2 linked regions of the Caenorhabditis elegans genome follow. The protein of the gene in region 2 interacts with the protein of the main gene of each other region in a pairwise test. Each region holds a gene or a part of one and is shown on either strand. Other genes may lie near its edges.

Region 1 (6,828 bases), on a different chromosome or scaffold from region 2:
CACGTCCGGTATTGAGAAGAGCAGAGAGATCATTAATCAATCCGAATCGATCGAGTACTGGCATTCGGCGAGAAGCGATATCGGGCAGCATTGCAGTTAGCATTTCATCCGAATATTCGACTCGGTAGAATCCAGTTGTTCCAGAGTTGAGCTTCACCCATTCTCCTGGAGCGACACCTTCAATCGTGAATTCTTGCTGCTTCTCCTTTAGCAAAAATCTGGCTTTCACATCACTTGGAGAACTTCCGACAGCAACTGTAATTGGCACTTGCCACTGGCTATTTTTCGGGTCTTCACCTCCATCGGAAATGAATCGACGTTGCTCCACGGTCAAAATGCGATTGTTACCATCTTGTCTCTGGGAGACCTTCAGCACAGGGAATCCCATTTGTTGGGTCCAACCGGACATCAATTCATTCACGTTTTGTCCTGAAGCCTCGCTCAGTGCGGTCCACAAATCTTGAGTAACTGCATTCGAATATTGGAATCTCTTCAAATAGAGGCGAAGTCCTTTTTGAAAAACTGGCTCCGATAGATAATAGCAGAGCATGCGGTTGACTGAATTGGATTTGGCGTAAGTGATCGAATCGTAAATCTCATCAAGCTCATTCGGATTATCAATTTCAACTTCGATTGGATGAGAGTTTCGAAGTGCATCAAGTCCCATTCCAGACGCGAGTTCATCATTCAGGAAATGAAGCCAGATCTTGAACTCTGGACAGTTAGCGCCAACGAACATGTATTCCATGAATGATGCAAATCCTTCTTTAAGCCAAAGATCAGTCCACCATTTCTGAAAAGAATGAATATATATGTTTATTAGTTGAAAATTCCCTACCATAGTCACAAGATTTCCGAACCATAAATGAGCCAACTCGTGAGCAACGACTAAAGCAACTCTAGACTTTTGTCTGGTGGACGTGACTCCTGGATCAACAAGAAGAGCGATTTCACGATACGTGACAAGTCCCCAGTTCTCCATCGCACCCATTGAGAAGTCCGGAATAGCAATCAGGTCACATTTTGGAAGAGGGTATTTGATGTCGAACCACTCATTGTACCAGTCAATGCACCTGAAAATTAGAAATTGAAACTTCATTTGAATTATTACTGAAAATTCAGCTAAAATTATTCTTTAAGATAACTCACTTCACAGAAAGATCCAAACTGTATTGACCTTGTTCTTTCTTTCCAGGTACAGTATACACACGCATCTCAACTCCGCTTTTCGTTTGTGCACTGATATATTCCAGCTCACCAACGGCGAAAGCGACGAGATACGATGACATCTTTGGTGAAGTTGCAAATGTAACTGCCTTTCTCTTTCCATCAGCAGTCGGTGTTTCGGAGATTACATTCATATTGGAGAGAGCGGTCAGATGATTTTCTACTTCCAAAGTAACGTCGAAAGTTGCCTTGTAAATTGGCTCATCGAAACATGGGAATGCATAGCGAGCATAAGTCGACTCAAACTGAGTTGAAGCCAAGAACTTTTCGGTGCCGTTCTTATCCTTGTACTGACTGCGATAAAATCCTCGCATCTTATCGTTCAGTTCACCGACAAACTTGAAGTCGAGCTGAACCTTCTGTGGCTGCATGGTAGTCGGAAGCTTGATAGTCAAAATATTGAGCTTATCGTCGTAGCTAGTTTCGAGAGATTTAGAAGCGTCTCCTGGCTGAGTGATAAGCGATACCGACTGAATCAGCAAACTCTGTGCATGCACCTTCAAGACATCAGTAGCTTCTTTGATTGTGACGTCAATCGTTGCATGACCATCGAAAGAGAATCTGAAAAACAAGAATTAGAACTTGAAGTGGTTTTGTTGCAAATTTAAACTACATATCAACATTTATTACTGCCGTCCTAGCTAAACTGAAATATTATTACAGAACTTACTGGTTGAGGCATGGCGATAAACGGACGTTGTAATGAGTTGGTTCGGCGAATGTTGGAAGCCTCTCAAATTTGACCGCCGCGCTTGGGTTTCCACAGGCCGCCATTCTGAAAAGTTTTATTAATAAAATGAATTTTTGACACAACTAAATTGAAAGAAAGAGAAGGATATCACAAATGAAAAAAAACACTACTAGGAATGGCGGGAAATGTGGAAAGGAGTTTCTGATTGGAATAAAAAATTAAGAGACGACTGTAACGTTATGCTCCGTGGCATCATCTTGCTTTAATCCTTTAGCTTCTGATGCTTTTTCTTGCTCAAAAGTGTCGAGCGATTCAGGAGTGAAAGCAAATGGAAGAAGAGCGCGAGTTGAGGTGATGAGAATTTTATTGTTAGATGCAGTTCCCACAACAACCTGCAACGATGACAGTGAAAAATTAAGAAGCTCTAGTTTTCTTACTTTATAGTCACCGAATTCAACTAGAAATTGACGGCAAAGTCCACAGGGAGACGCAGGTTCGCTGAGCTCAGTGACGACAGCAATGGCACGGAATTTCGTGTATCCTTGTGACACAGCAGAAACAATAGCACTACGCTCAGCGCAGATAGTGCCACCGTATGAAGCATTCTCGACATTGCAGCCTACAGAAAATGCTAGAAACTTCAAAAATGCATGTTGCGAAACTGAGAAGCCCGCAGACATCTCGAGTTATGCAACGACAAGAAATCACAAATTACCCTGGACAATTTCCCCAGATTCAGTGAGAAGCGCTGCACCAACTGGAAACTTGCTGTATGGGCAATGTGCCCGTTTCATCGCAGCTCGGGCCAAATGAACTAGTTCCACATCGGAAATATCTTGAGGAAGACTATTCGCGGCCATCTGTAGTTAACTATGACAAAAGTGCATGAAATGAGAAGCGAATGAGGCGAATTAAATTATTAGAAGAACAGAGAACAACATTGATGAGAAAAGTTAGCAATACACAAAAGAATTTGCGTTGTGGAACGCATGCAAAGTGACGTTAAATCCCATATTCAGTGAACGGGTCGCGTTATATTTAAAAAAAACATGACAAAATGGGAACTTTGCAACTATTTTTCAGCCTCAACTTCGAGAATTGGTGAAATGAAAAATCCACGGGACATTTTTGCGCGCGCGCGGCCCGAGAAGTGGTACCTGTACGCAATTTGTCTACCGTATACCTGGACGTTTGGGCGCGTGTATCTCAAAAACGGTTGGTCCAGTTTTTTTGTGATGCATATAAATAATGTCCGAAATTAAATTCTAAATTTTTTGGACCAAAGCTTTTTTCATTATCACGCGCCCAAACCTGGTCTACACTCAAATTATCAGTAGAGCGCATTTGCATAGATGTACCACTTGCCGGGCCGTGGCGCGCGCGCGCATTACAAAAGTCAAAAAAATGCGCGAGCGTGTTTGCGTATCTCATTGCGTACTCCAGCGTACCGTAGTTTGTCGACCACGAACGTTCGTTCGCGAACGAATTCGAACTCAATTCAAACTTGTCTCTCTTTTTATAACAATGCCGAAATCATTGCGAAAACGGTTTGTACTTGTGAGTATCGATGATAACATCGAACAAATTAATGCTGCACGAAAGCTTCGTCGCTATTTGGTGAGTTTTTTCTTTAATTATTCTTCCTAATTCATATTTTTAGACGAACAATCACTTGAATCACATTTTCTCGTCAACTCCGGAAGAAATGAAAGAATATTTGGATAAATTGGACAGTGGAACTTTTAATTTTCGAGAAACAGCCGAGGAACAGAAATCGGTTGATCCGTTTTCGGAAGCAAACCAACCCGCCATTCAGATGTCTTCAAACCAAGAAATATTAGAGAAATGGGCGGTAAGGATTGAATAACTCGAATATTGTTCGAAAATAATAAAAAGTATTTCAGCGCGGAACTTTCGCCGAAAACTCGGATGCGTTGAAACTTTTGCTCGAGCCAACTAACATCGAGGAAGATGCAGTTTTGGATGATCACGAATCAGAGAACATTGTAAACAGTAAGAGTTCGTTCATTTAATTTTTAATATTTCGCTGATAACAGATATTCCGCAATTGTTTATGGTAAACTCAATGGATGCTGAAACACCAAATGACTCGATAATCGTTGAAAACGGAAAGGAAGATCAACTTGATATGGCATATTGTTCGGTGAGACCCCGACAATTGCGTCAGATTCAACTACAATTTTCAGCTGTGCAAGCATGAAGTGGAAACCGGTAGAAACCGAAATACAAAAATTAGGAAACAGACTGAACATGTTCTAGACGCCCACCCAGAATCGGAATTTCTCAATGTAGACATAGCAAAACGCTATGAGTGTGTCCACTGTTTGAGAACTCTTCCTGTGTCGAAATCACCATGTGAACATATTTCTGAACACCACGATAAAACCCACGTGGAAATTGAATTTCGTGACTTATGGTAGGAAAATCACATTGAAGAAATGCTTTTAAAAATTCGATTCAAATTTAGGTCCAATGAGCAAGTGTCAACTTTCAATTCAGTTATGGAAAAATGCTTCTTGCGTCATCTTCCAGTTCCCAGAAGCCGTAGAATTCGAAACGGAAACACCTGGTATCTCTCCGAAAAGGCCTCGTACAGAATTGTTCGAGGAGGTGAAATTATCCATATCAGCACTGTGGCTGATAAAAGCAAAACAGATGTGAGTTGTTGAAAAAAGGTTTTTGTAAATATTTCAAAAACATAGAAATAAGCTTTTGGAGAAAAAATTAATAGAAACTGGAAGAAGTCGTGAAGCCTATCAGTAGAATGAAATGTTTCAGAATGACACAATGTAAGATCATTAGATTTTTCGTGGAAATTGCTTTAGATTGGTGTGAAAATGATAAACATAACAGACGTATAGACAAATAGGGTGAATGACGTTAGAACCCACCCTTCCATTTTCGATAACGAAAAAGGATAGTTAGAGGTTGGCACTTCGAGACACTATTGTCATCAAAAACACATACACACACCGGGACGCAGAACTGACCCGTGTTCGCCTCTTGCCGTGCGATGGAGCATGTTTGCTGTTGTGTGGTAGGGACGGCACTGGGCGCCGGCGACAAATGAAAGACGTCGGATGGCCGAAAAATTGCGCAGGCAAAGCTGATGAGTGTTGACGGGCTTGATGGATGCTGTAAAAATGTTAGAATGAACAACAGGCGAAACAGCGATTTTTGAGTCAAAAATACGGTACCGAGTTTCGACACGAAAAATTTCATTTTAGGAGTACTGTAACTTCAATCTCTCGTTTTTCTCATTGTTTTCCAATAAAATTGATGTGTTTGTTCAAAAAATAGGTTTAAAACAGGATGAAAATGTTACAGAATCGAGATTTTGAAACTACAGTAATCTTTAAAGGGGCAGACCTTGTATTTAAGAAAAATTTGTCGTGTCGAGACCGGGTACCGTATTTTTGGCTCCTGTGCTGATCTTAACGGCTAGGATGTTATTATTCTGACCATGCTATTGCTGATATCTAGATGACCAGATTTCACAATATTCAGTAGTATAGTTGTGCACAGTTGATCAAGTGACACTTATCATTTAATATTATTGTTTCCACGAATTCAGAGTACTGAATTTATCAGCTGTCAGTCTTATCAACTCACATGACCAAAATCTGCAAAATCTGCTTTTTTTTGCAATTACTTCTAAGCTATGTAAAATTACAAAATTTCCTAGAAAACGGGAAATTAATTACCTTTACTGCAACGGACAGCCTGTCGAACTGCTAATCTTCCCAGCATTCTGAAATCTGGAACGACAGAATTACAGATTTTTAGTATATAATTTTGTAAAATCAATGTTATTTTTAGAATGGAAAAGAAAGCAAGCAAAGTCGTCTGGATAATTCTGAACGCGGAAAACCTACACGCTCGATGGATTCAGACTATGATATTTTTGATAATCAGGATGAAACTGATTCTGAAGAAGGTGCTCGAAGCGAGTCTATAGATACAGGAAATAAAGGTAAATGTCATTATTTAGATTAGAATTTTCAGCTTTCTTTTGGATGGTTTTGAAATATTATCGCTCTCAGCATTATTTTGTTTTTTTCCAAATTTTTGTAGGAGTAGTAAATATAGTAAACGTTTGAAAAGAAATTTTTATTGATGATTATAATTTTCGGTGTTTTTAAAACTTTTTTTCAATACAATTTCTTCCAGAAAGGTTAGGTTTTCTAAAAAAGAATTTCTAAATTAAAACTACTCATTTCCAGAATACTCTTATTTAGTGTAGGTTTTTCAATTAATGAAATTCAATTTAACTCCAATCATCACTATCCCAATCGTTTAAAATTGTGAAAATAGTTTCAGAAAGTGAACCTGGCAGTCTTCAGAGCGTCATCGATCTAGAATAGTCTTATCTTAAATGTTCCCCTGTTTTTTTTTCACCATACCCGTTGTACTCTTTTGTTTCGATAATTGTTCTGCATTTAATGAACCTGTTTCTCAAAAAAAATTGTATAGCGACAGCTGAACACGGTAAATATAATTCAACATTGAGCACTTCTTGAAGTTCATCAAAAAATTTACGATTTTCATGTAGAAATATACACAACATACAAATGCCCAAAACATGGAAATAGAAGGCAACTCGGGTAAATGTTTTTGAATAATGAAAAAAATATCAAATAAATATGGTATAAACTAATTAGAAAAATGAGAATTTTCAAAAATTTACTCGTCGTGTGGGAGTGGAACAACTTCTGTAGATGGTGTTGGGTGTCCACCAATGCCAAAGTAACGGAAGGCAGCCAACGTGAGTTCAAGTCCGAAGAAACAGGCAGCGTTTGCAGGGAAAGCACGGAGCATTACTGGCCAGAATCCCTGAAATTTATACAAATTGTAGCTAGAAATCAGGTAAAGTATATATGTATGTAAAT
Region 2 (6,983 bases):
CGACTGCAATCTTCAGTGAAAGAGATGAAACCGCGATTCGGCATCAGCATCTGGCCAGTAAAGATATGAGATTGCTCCAACGTCGATTGCTTACGTCACTTGGTGATGCTAACAATGATTTCTTCAAGATAAATCAGCTCAAAGTAGTTTTCCAAAAAAAAGATGTTTGCCATAAAACATAAATTTACAGTTCCGCAAAAAGATGATCAAGTTTGCACGTTCTCGTATTCACGGATGGGGTCTCTACGCGATGGAGTCGATTGCACCAGATGAGATGATTGTGGAGTATATAGGACAGACGGTCAGTTTTTTTTGTGAAATTAAATTCCGAAGTATTGATTTTTTTTCAGATCCGATCTCTGGTGGCCGAAGAACGAGAAAAGGCTTATGAACGTCGTGGAATCGGAAGTTCATATCTGTTCCGAATTGATCTGCATCATGTGATCGATGCAACAAAGCGTGGAAATTTTGCTCGATTTATTAATCACTCGTGCCAACCTAATTGCTACGCGAAGGTACGTAGTTAATTTGATAATCTGATTTTAAAAAAATAATTTAAAATTTTTAGGTTCTTACAATCGAAGGCGAGAAGCGGATAGTCATCTACAGCCGAACAATTATCAAGAAGGGTGAAGAAATCACGTATGACTACAAGTTCCCAATTGAAGACGACAAAATAGATTGTCTGTGTGGTGCGAAGACGTGTCGTGGATATCTTAATTGATATGATTCGTCTAGTTTTTAAAATTTATATTCCATTCGATCTCTTCTAGTTTTTTAATATTTTTTATTTATTTAAATTTTCCTATCCAATTCCCAATTCGCTGGTTCGAAGTTGGAAATTGCTATCTGATAAGAATAGGCCGGTTCCTACTTTTTTTTTAAATATTGAAAACTGTATCATTGTTATTCATTCTCCTTATGGTGAGCTGAGAAATCCTTGTATTATTAGTGGAATTCGTTATTGTTGAACAATTGTTTGAGTGTATGTTATACGATACAAGCTCCCCTTTTCAACTAGATACTTCTACATTTTATCAAATCTCTTGTTTCTCTATAGGTTTACGAATTGTTTTCTTGGAGGATTTCCTCTACAGTCTCTTGTTTATCTCTCTATACTTGAACATCTCTGAAATCATTCATTTTCCCTTGAACTCTGAACAATTGGTCTTTCCAAAACAACCTCCCATTCAAGTCTTTATTCATTCGTGTTTAAAGTTAATTTCAGCTAGTCTGAATAGTTTTATGTTTTAAAAAGTGTTTTATTATGTTCTTTAAATGAAATAATTTTAAAAGTCATGGTTTTCGTATTTTAAAAAATTTTGTTCATTTCAGTTCGATTCATATTTCTGGTATTTATCAGCGATAGTGAAGAGACCCGAAGAACTCGGGGGATGTCCAACTGGGGGGATTACCAACTCGGGGGATTGGCCCCGCCCACAGAACCGTGGCTTGCAATACGCCCATTTCTGCAACTGCCGCACGATTTTAAAATTGTATTTTTATCAATAGAGCGAGGATTAACAAGAAAAAATGATTTTAAAACCGTGCGGCAGTTGCAGAAATGGGCGTATTGCAAGCCACGGTTCTGTGGGCGGGGCCAATCCCCCGAGTTGGTAATCCCCCCAGTTGGACATCCCCCGAGTTCTTCGGGTCTCATAGTGAAAATTAAACAGGTTTTCCAGTTTACTATTTATTTAAAAAAATACCTATGTATATACATTTTTTTAAAAGTTACCTAGGTTCGAAACATGACCATTTTCGGTTCAAAAAATATGATACCGGATCTTTTCAATAATTCATGATTCGTTTTGTCATGTTTTTTGTTTCAATAATACCAGGGTAATATTATGCATCATCTCTCATACCAAATAATCTATAGAATAAGCTCGAAAATTTAAGAAAAATTTACCATTAGCAATTTCCTTGTCACCACGTAGTGGCCACTTTCAACTGATAAACCTATGTTTGCATTTAGATGATTCGGAGTTGCGTACGGTTGGCATCACAATCGACGAACAAACTTCTCATTTTTTCCTCATTGTCCCGTAACAGTCAACTCTACATTTCGATGAGCTCTTCTGATTTGGGAAGAGGATTTAAACAAGGTAAACGTCTAAAACCATCGATTATTTCAACTGAAAGAGCAACCGATTTTACTACGTTAAAATTAAATTTTCAGGCCGTGGAACTGGTGATTCTGGGCAATCTTCTCTGTACAACAATGAGCGTCGCTGGAAAGATGACGACACTTTCAATGCTCTCGGAGCAACCGATGAATTGTCTTCATTTCTTGGTGTCTGTGGAGCATCTGCTCAAAACGATGGTTCAATGAGCGATGTAGTGGAGACATTAACACGCCTTCAATGTTGTCTACAGGATGTTGGAGCTCATCTTGCTACTCCACCAAAAAATTCTTCGGAGAGAAAACAAAGTGTGTTTTTTTTCTAAAGAGTGAAAAATCTAAAGTTTCCGTTACCGATTTTCAATTTTGTATCTTTATTTTAAATCCCGGAAAATTCTTTCGAATCAAGAAAGTAGTCGAAGTGACTTGGTATTTTCAGAGAAAGTCAAAAAACTGAAATTTTTTCGGAAACCAAACAAATTTTTTCAAGTTTGGTTTATCAAAAAAAAAGTTAATTCTATTGAATTAAAATAAAATAAAAATCACATATAGAGGAAAGATCGGAGATTTTCATATGAAGGTCTCTGGCTTTATATTTTTCTAAAAAATAATTTTTAAAAATCACTATTGAGCCGTATTCTATTCTTTCAGAGAAAACTGCATTCGATATTGCAATGGTTGAATGGATAAATGCAGAAATCGATCGATACGGAGACGCGTTGCCTGCAATCCGACAATTTATTCTTTCTGGCGGTGGAATGACGTCTGCTCAATTACAGTATTCCCGCGCAATTTGTCGTCGAGCTGAACGGAGTATTGTTCCACTTATGAGAGACGAAGACGTCGATCCAATGGCATTAAAGTTCTTGAATAGGTACTATGGTTATCGATTCATCGTTAGTAAGAAATATCAATTTCAGAATGAGCGATCTTCTATTTGTTCTCGGTCGTACTGCCTGCATGAGAAACAAGAACGAAGAGCTGACATATCTTCGCCCCGATTCGTTCACCAATTTGAAATGGGATCGTAAATCTCTTCACGAGAAAAAATAATTTTTTTTATAAATATGTAGTTATCATTCTTGTGAAACTCGCCATACACTTCGTGTAAAATTTTTATTGAATAATCTTGCCATAAATATCAGATTTGTCTATATATATTTTTCTTTTTTGAGATTCTTTATAATTTTTTATATTAATTGATTGTGAACTCTTCATAATGTATATTTTTGTTTAGAAACCAAAACGAAATTTTCAGATTTCCAACTTGTATAATTTTAGAAAATGCTACCATTTGACCCATCCACTAGATACGATCGTCAAGTTCGACTTTGGGGAGAAGAAGGACAAGCATCAATTGGTTCAACAAGTGCATGTGTTCTTGGAAGCGATTCGCTAGGTATTTTTGAAAAAATTGAATTAAAAATCCAATCTAAATATTTTTAGCAACAGAAATATTGAAATCGTTGGTTCTCGCCGGTGTTCAATCATTCTATGTCGTTGATGACGCCAAAGTTGAACAAGCTGACATCGGTCAGAATTTCTTCCTCCATGCAGATGATATTGGACGTTCTCGTGCCGAGGCAACATTGGAGAAGCTTACCGAACTGAATCCATCAGTCTCTGGTAGTGCAAGTAGTCAGCCACCAACAGCGTTAGCTATGGAAGATGTGGAAAAGCTGACAACGTTTTCTGTGGTTGTTGCTGCAAATCAAAATGAAGAAATTGATACGACGTTCGCGAAAGTTTTGTATAATATTAGAGTTCCATTCATCTGTATCAAGTACGATATTTTCAAAATTTGAAGTTCTTGCAGTTAAAATTCCAAAATTCAGAACTTTTGGACTAATTGGTACCATTCGAATCTGCATCAAAGAACACACAATTGCTAACTCACACGAAGAGAATCCGAGACCTGATTTACGGTAAAATATACATGAAAACTTCCAAAAAAGTTTTTATTTCTCAGATTGGATGCTCCATTTTCAAAGCTTATTGAAATGATCAATGAAACAAATCTAGATGAAATGACTCTAGAACAACTCCGCCATACTCCGTATATTCTTCTTCACTTCAAAGGTTTTTCTCGCAATTATGGTTGTATTCTGTTATTTACCTTCTTAATTTCAGCTCTCGAAGTATTCAGAAAGCAACGAAATGATCCTGAAGCGTTCCCATCTACAACTGCGGAACGTAAAGAACTTCAGGCGATTCTTATGAGTTTCCGACGTTCGAGTGAAGAATCCGGAACCAAGGATTCTGAGAATTTTGATGAGGCGAAAGCGGCGGTTATTCGAGCTTTTCAAAGAACTACGGTAAGTTTTTGATAAATTATCCAAATTGATTCTCATTTCTAGTAAGTTTCAGATTGGTTCTTCTGTAAAATCGATTCTCTCTTCTCCACAATGTTCAACATCGACACGCCCATTCTGGTTAATCTGTGAAGCTCTTCGTCGTTTTGTCACCGAGAATAATAATCTTCTGCCTCTTCGTGGAACTCTTCCTGATATGACTTCTGATTCTTCTCGATACACTCGCCTCGCAACTCTTTTCCACGAAAAAGCTCTTTCAGATGCTCAGGAAGTGCTTCGTTTGACACGTGAAGTAGAGAAGGAACGAGGTGTTGGTGACGTCATATCGGATGACGTTTGCTATCGTTTCTGTAAGAACGCTGATCGGATTCGAGTTCAGTATGGCGATGTGCTTGACTACAACGAAGAAACCAAAGCAATTGTTGAGAAAATTCGTGAAAGCAATATTGATGAAGAGACTAGAAATCAGAAAGTTGATGAAGCCACGTGGATGCTACTGATGAGGGCAGTTGGAAGGTTCCAAAAAGAAAAAGGACGTTACCCAGGAACTAATGGAGTTCCAGTTTCAATTGATGCTCAAGATTTGAAGAAGAGAGTTGAAGTTTTGATTCGAGAAGCTTTGAAGGTTTATTACATTCGTTAGTGAAATTAAAACTATTAACAAATTTTAGGATGAACAGGACTTCACATCAATCTCAAATAAAGTGACAGACACTGCTATCGCTGAAATTTGTCGTTTTGGTGCTGCGGAGTTACATGTCATTTCATCGTACGTCGGTGGAATAGCTGCTCAAGAGATTATCAAATTGGCTACCAATCAATATGTTCCCATTGATAACACATTCATTTTTGATGGACATACTCAGGAGTCGGCAACATTCAAATTTTAGTTTAATTTATTGGTTATTTCGCGAATTTGGTTTTGAAACTGTTCCTTGTGGCATGACATTTGTAAATGAGCCTTATTATCAGCAAAGATTTAAAATTTACAAAATAAAACTTTGATTCAAGATTGACATACTGAATATATTCATGAACATATTCATGGACATTGGAACATTGCAATTCGCTCATCTCCCATTTTTAGATATCCCCGGAAACCCCAATTTGAATGCCCGCGCAAAAAAGAGAGAATCGTTGCGAAACCCGCGCGCGTAAATGTTTGCACCTTTAAGTTTTTTGTTTCGGTTTTCCATTTCTTCGAGTTTCTTTCCTCAATTTTTTCTTGTTTACCAACTGCTTATTGCTGTTTCTTATGATAAAAACTTTCTTTATTTTAGAAAATGGCTGGAATTATTTTCGACGATATGTTCAAAGTGAAAAGCGTGGATCCAGACGGCAAAAAATTCGACAGAGTTTCTCGATACTTCTGCGATGCTGAGTCTTTCAAGTGAGATTATTTTAACATTAACTTTTTTACTGACTATGAGAATTGAAAATTTTTTAGAATGGAGCTTATCATTGATATCAACTCGCAGATCTATCCACTGAAGCAGAACGACAAAGTTCGTCTTGTTCTGGCCACTACACTCCGAGAAGACGGACTTGCCGATGAAGGAGAATATGATCCAAAAGTGAGTTTTTATCTTTTTACATTTTTTAAATATATGTTTGCACTACCTGTCTCGTTTTGACTTGGATAACTGATTAGATAACTGAAATTGAAAACTACATTTCACTTATTGTGTAACTCAATCGTTTCCCTTTCAGGCAGAATACCCAAGAATCAAACAGTATGAATATGTGATGTACGGAAAAGTTTACCGCTTGGAAGACGATGATACTGGAACTGACGGCGGAAAGCTCGCTGCTTATGCTTCGTTTGGCGGTCTACTGATGCGTTTGAAGGGCGAGGCTATCAATTTGCATGGTTTCGAGGTCGACATGAATCTGTACCTTCTCATGAAGAAGACTGACTTCTAATCCGCGACTGAAAGTTATTGATTATTTCATTTGTTGATCCGTTTTCTATTTGTTCTACTGTTTTTTATCTCTTTCCAATCTTCACTCAATTTGATCTTATTCTGATTTGTCAGACCGAATTTTCTTTTACATGAAATTTACATTGTTACAATTAAAGTAATTGACTATTTTGTAATTTTCAGTGCAGCAAGCCTGTTAAATATCTTCTTTGATATTCTCAAATTTATTTCCAGCAGTGTGCTTTTCAGGGTTTACAAAATGTCAGCCAATAAAGAGCTGCAACAAGGATACTCTGACTACTCAGCAGCGGTGAGTTTTAATTCACAAGATGTGGAAGTTTTTTTTATCATTTCAGTCCGACCAAGCTGCGCTTCTGAATCGTCTCATAACTGCCATGCAAAAGGGAGAGCTTACTGACGAACTTTTGGAACATATTCCGGAACTCGGCGATGCCAAGAAATTGAACGATAAGCTCAAATACCGGAAGTCGATTCTCGAGAAGAGCATTGCCGAACAGGCAGCCAAGAACAAGAAAAATGGTGTGAAAGCAACATCAACTAGTTCTCCATCTTCTTCTACCTCTGCTCCAGCCGAGAAGAAGGCCAAAAAAGACGGCAAAACGT

What was found. Proteins that work in one complex are often made in the same cells at the same time.
Region 1: the proteins of rpb-8 (region 2) and cdd-2 interact in a two-hybrid assay, tested with the Caenorhabditis elegans proteins (2 studies listed by BioGRID).

Annotation. Positions count from the first base shown.
Region 1 is NC_003282.8:7,545,116-7,551,943, forward strand, and holds cdd-2 (Cytidine deaminase), read right to left. Parts: upstream 2,779-6,828; coding exon 2,634-2,778; intron 2,538-2,633; coding exon 2,356-2,537; intron 2,311-2,355; coding exon 2,137-2,310; 3' UTR 2,003-2,136; downstream 1-2,002. Other genes in the region: pam-1 (Puromycin-sensitive aminopeptidase), read right to left, coding at 1-793, 839-1,073, 1,150-1,788, 1,898-2,002, 4,930-5,074, 5,644-5,689; oef-1 (C2H2-type domain-containing protein), read left to right, coding at 3,443-3,535, 3,579-3,770, 3,823-3,931, 3,976-4,082, 4,126-4,355, 4,407-4,596, 5,759-5,912, 6,254-6,303; Protein dif-1, read right to left, coding at 6,623-6,772.
Region 2 is NC_003281.10:4,916,743-4,923,725, reverse strand, and holds rpb-8 (putative DNA-directed RNA polymerases I, II, and III subunit RPABC3), read left to right. Parts: upstream 1-5,717; 5' UTR 5,718-5,720; coding exon 5,721-5,827; intron 5,828-5,884; coding exon 5,885-6,011; intron 6,012-6,147; coding exon 6,148-6,360; 3' UTR 6,361-6,483; downstream 6,484-6,983. Other genes in the region: Histone-lysine N-methyltransferase set-2, read left to right, coding at 1-143, 191-301, 351-515, 569-724; mmab-1 (Corrinoid adenosyltransferase MMAB), read left to right, coding at 2,072-2,108, 2,183-2,434, 2,777-2,999, 3,046-3,178; ula-1 (NEDD8-activating enzyme E1 regulatory subunit), read left to right, coding at 3,410-3,524, 3,572-3,908, 3,961-4,050, 4,095-4,204, 4,256-4,440, 4,487-5,062, 5,109-5,327; rars-1 (putative arginine--tRNA ligase, cytoplasmic), read left to right, coding at 6,619-6,669, 6,716-6,981. UniProt on the Caenorhabditis elegans protein: DNA-dependent RNA polymerase catalyzes the transcription of DNA into RNA using the four ribonucleoside triphosphates as substrates.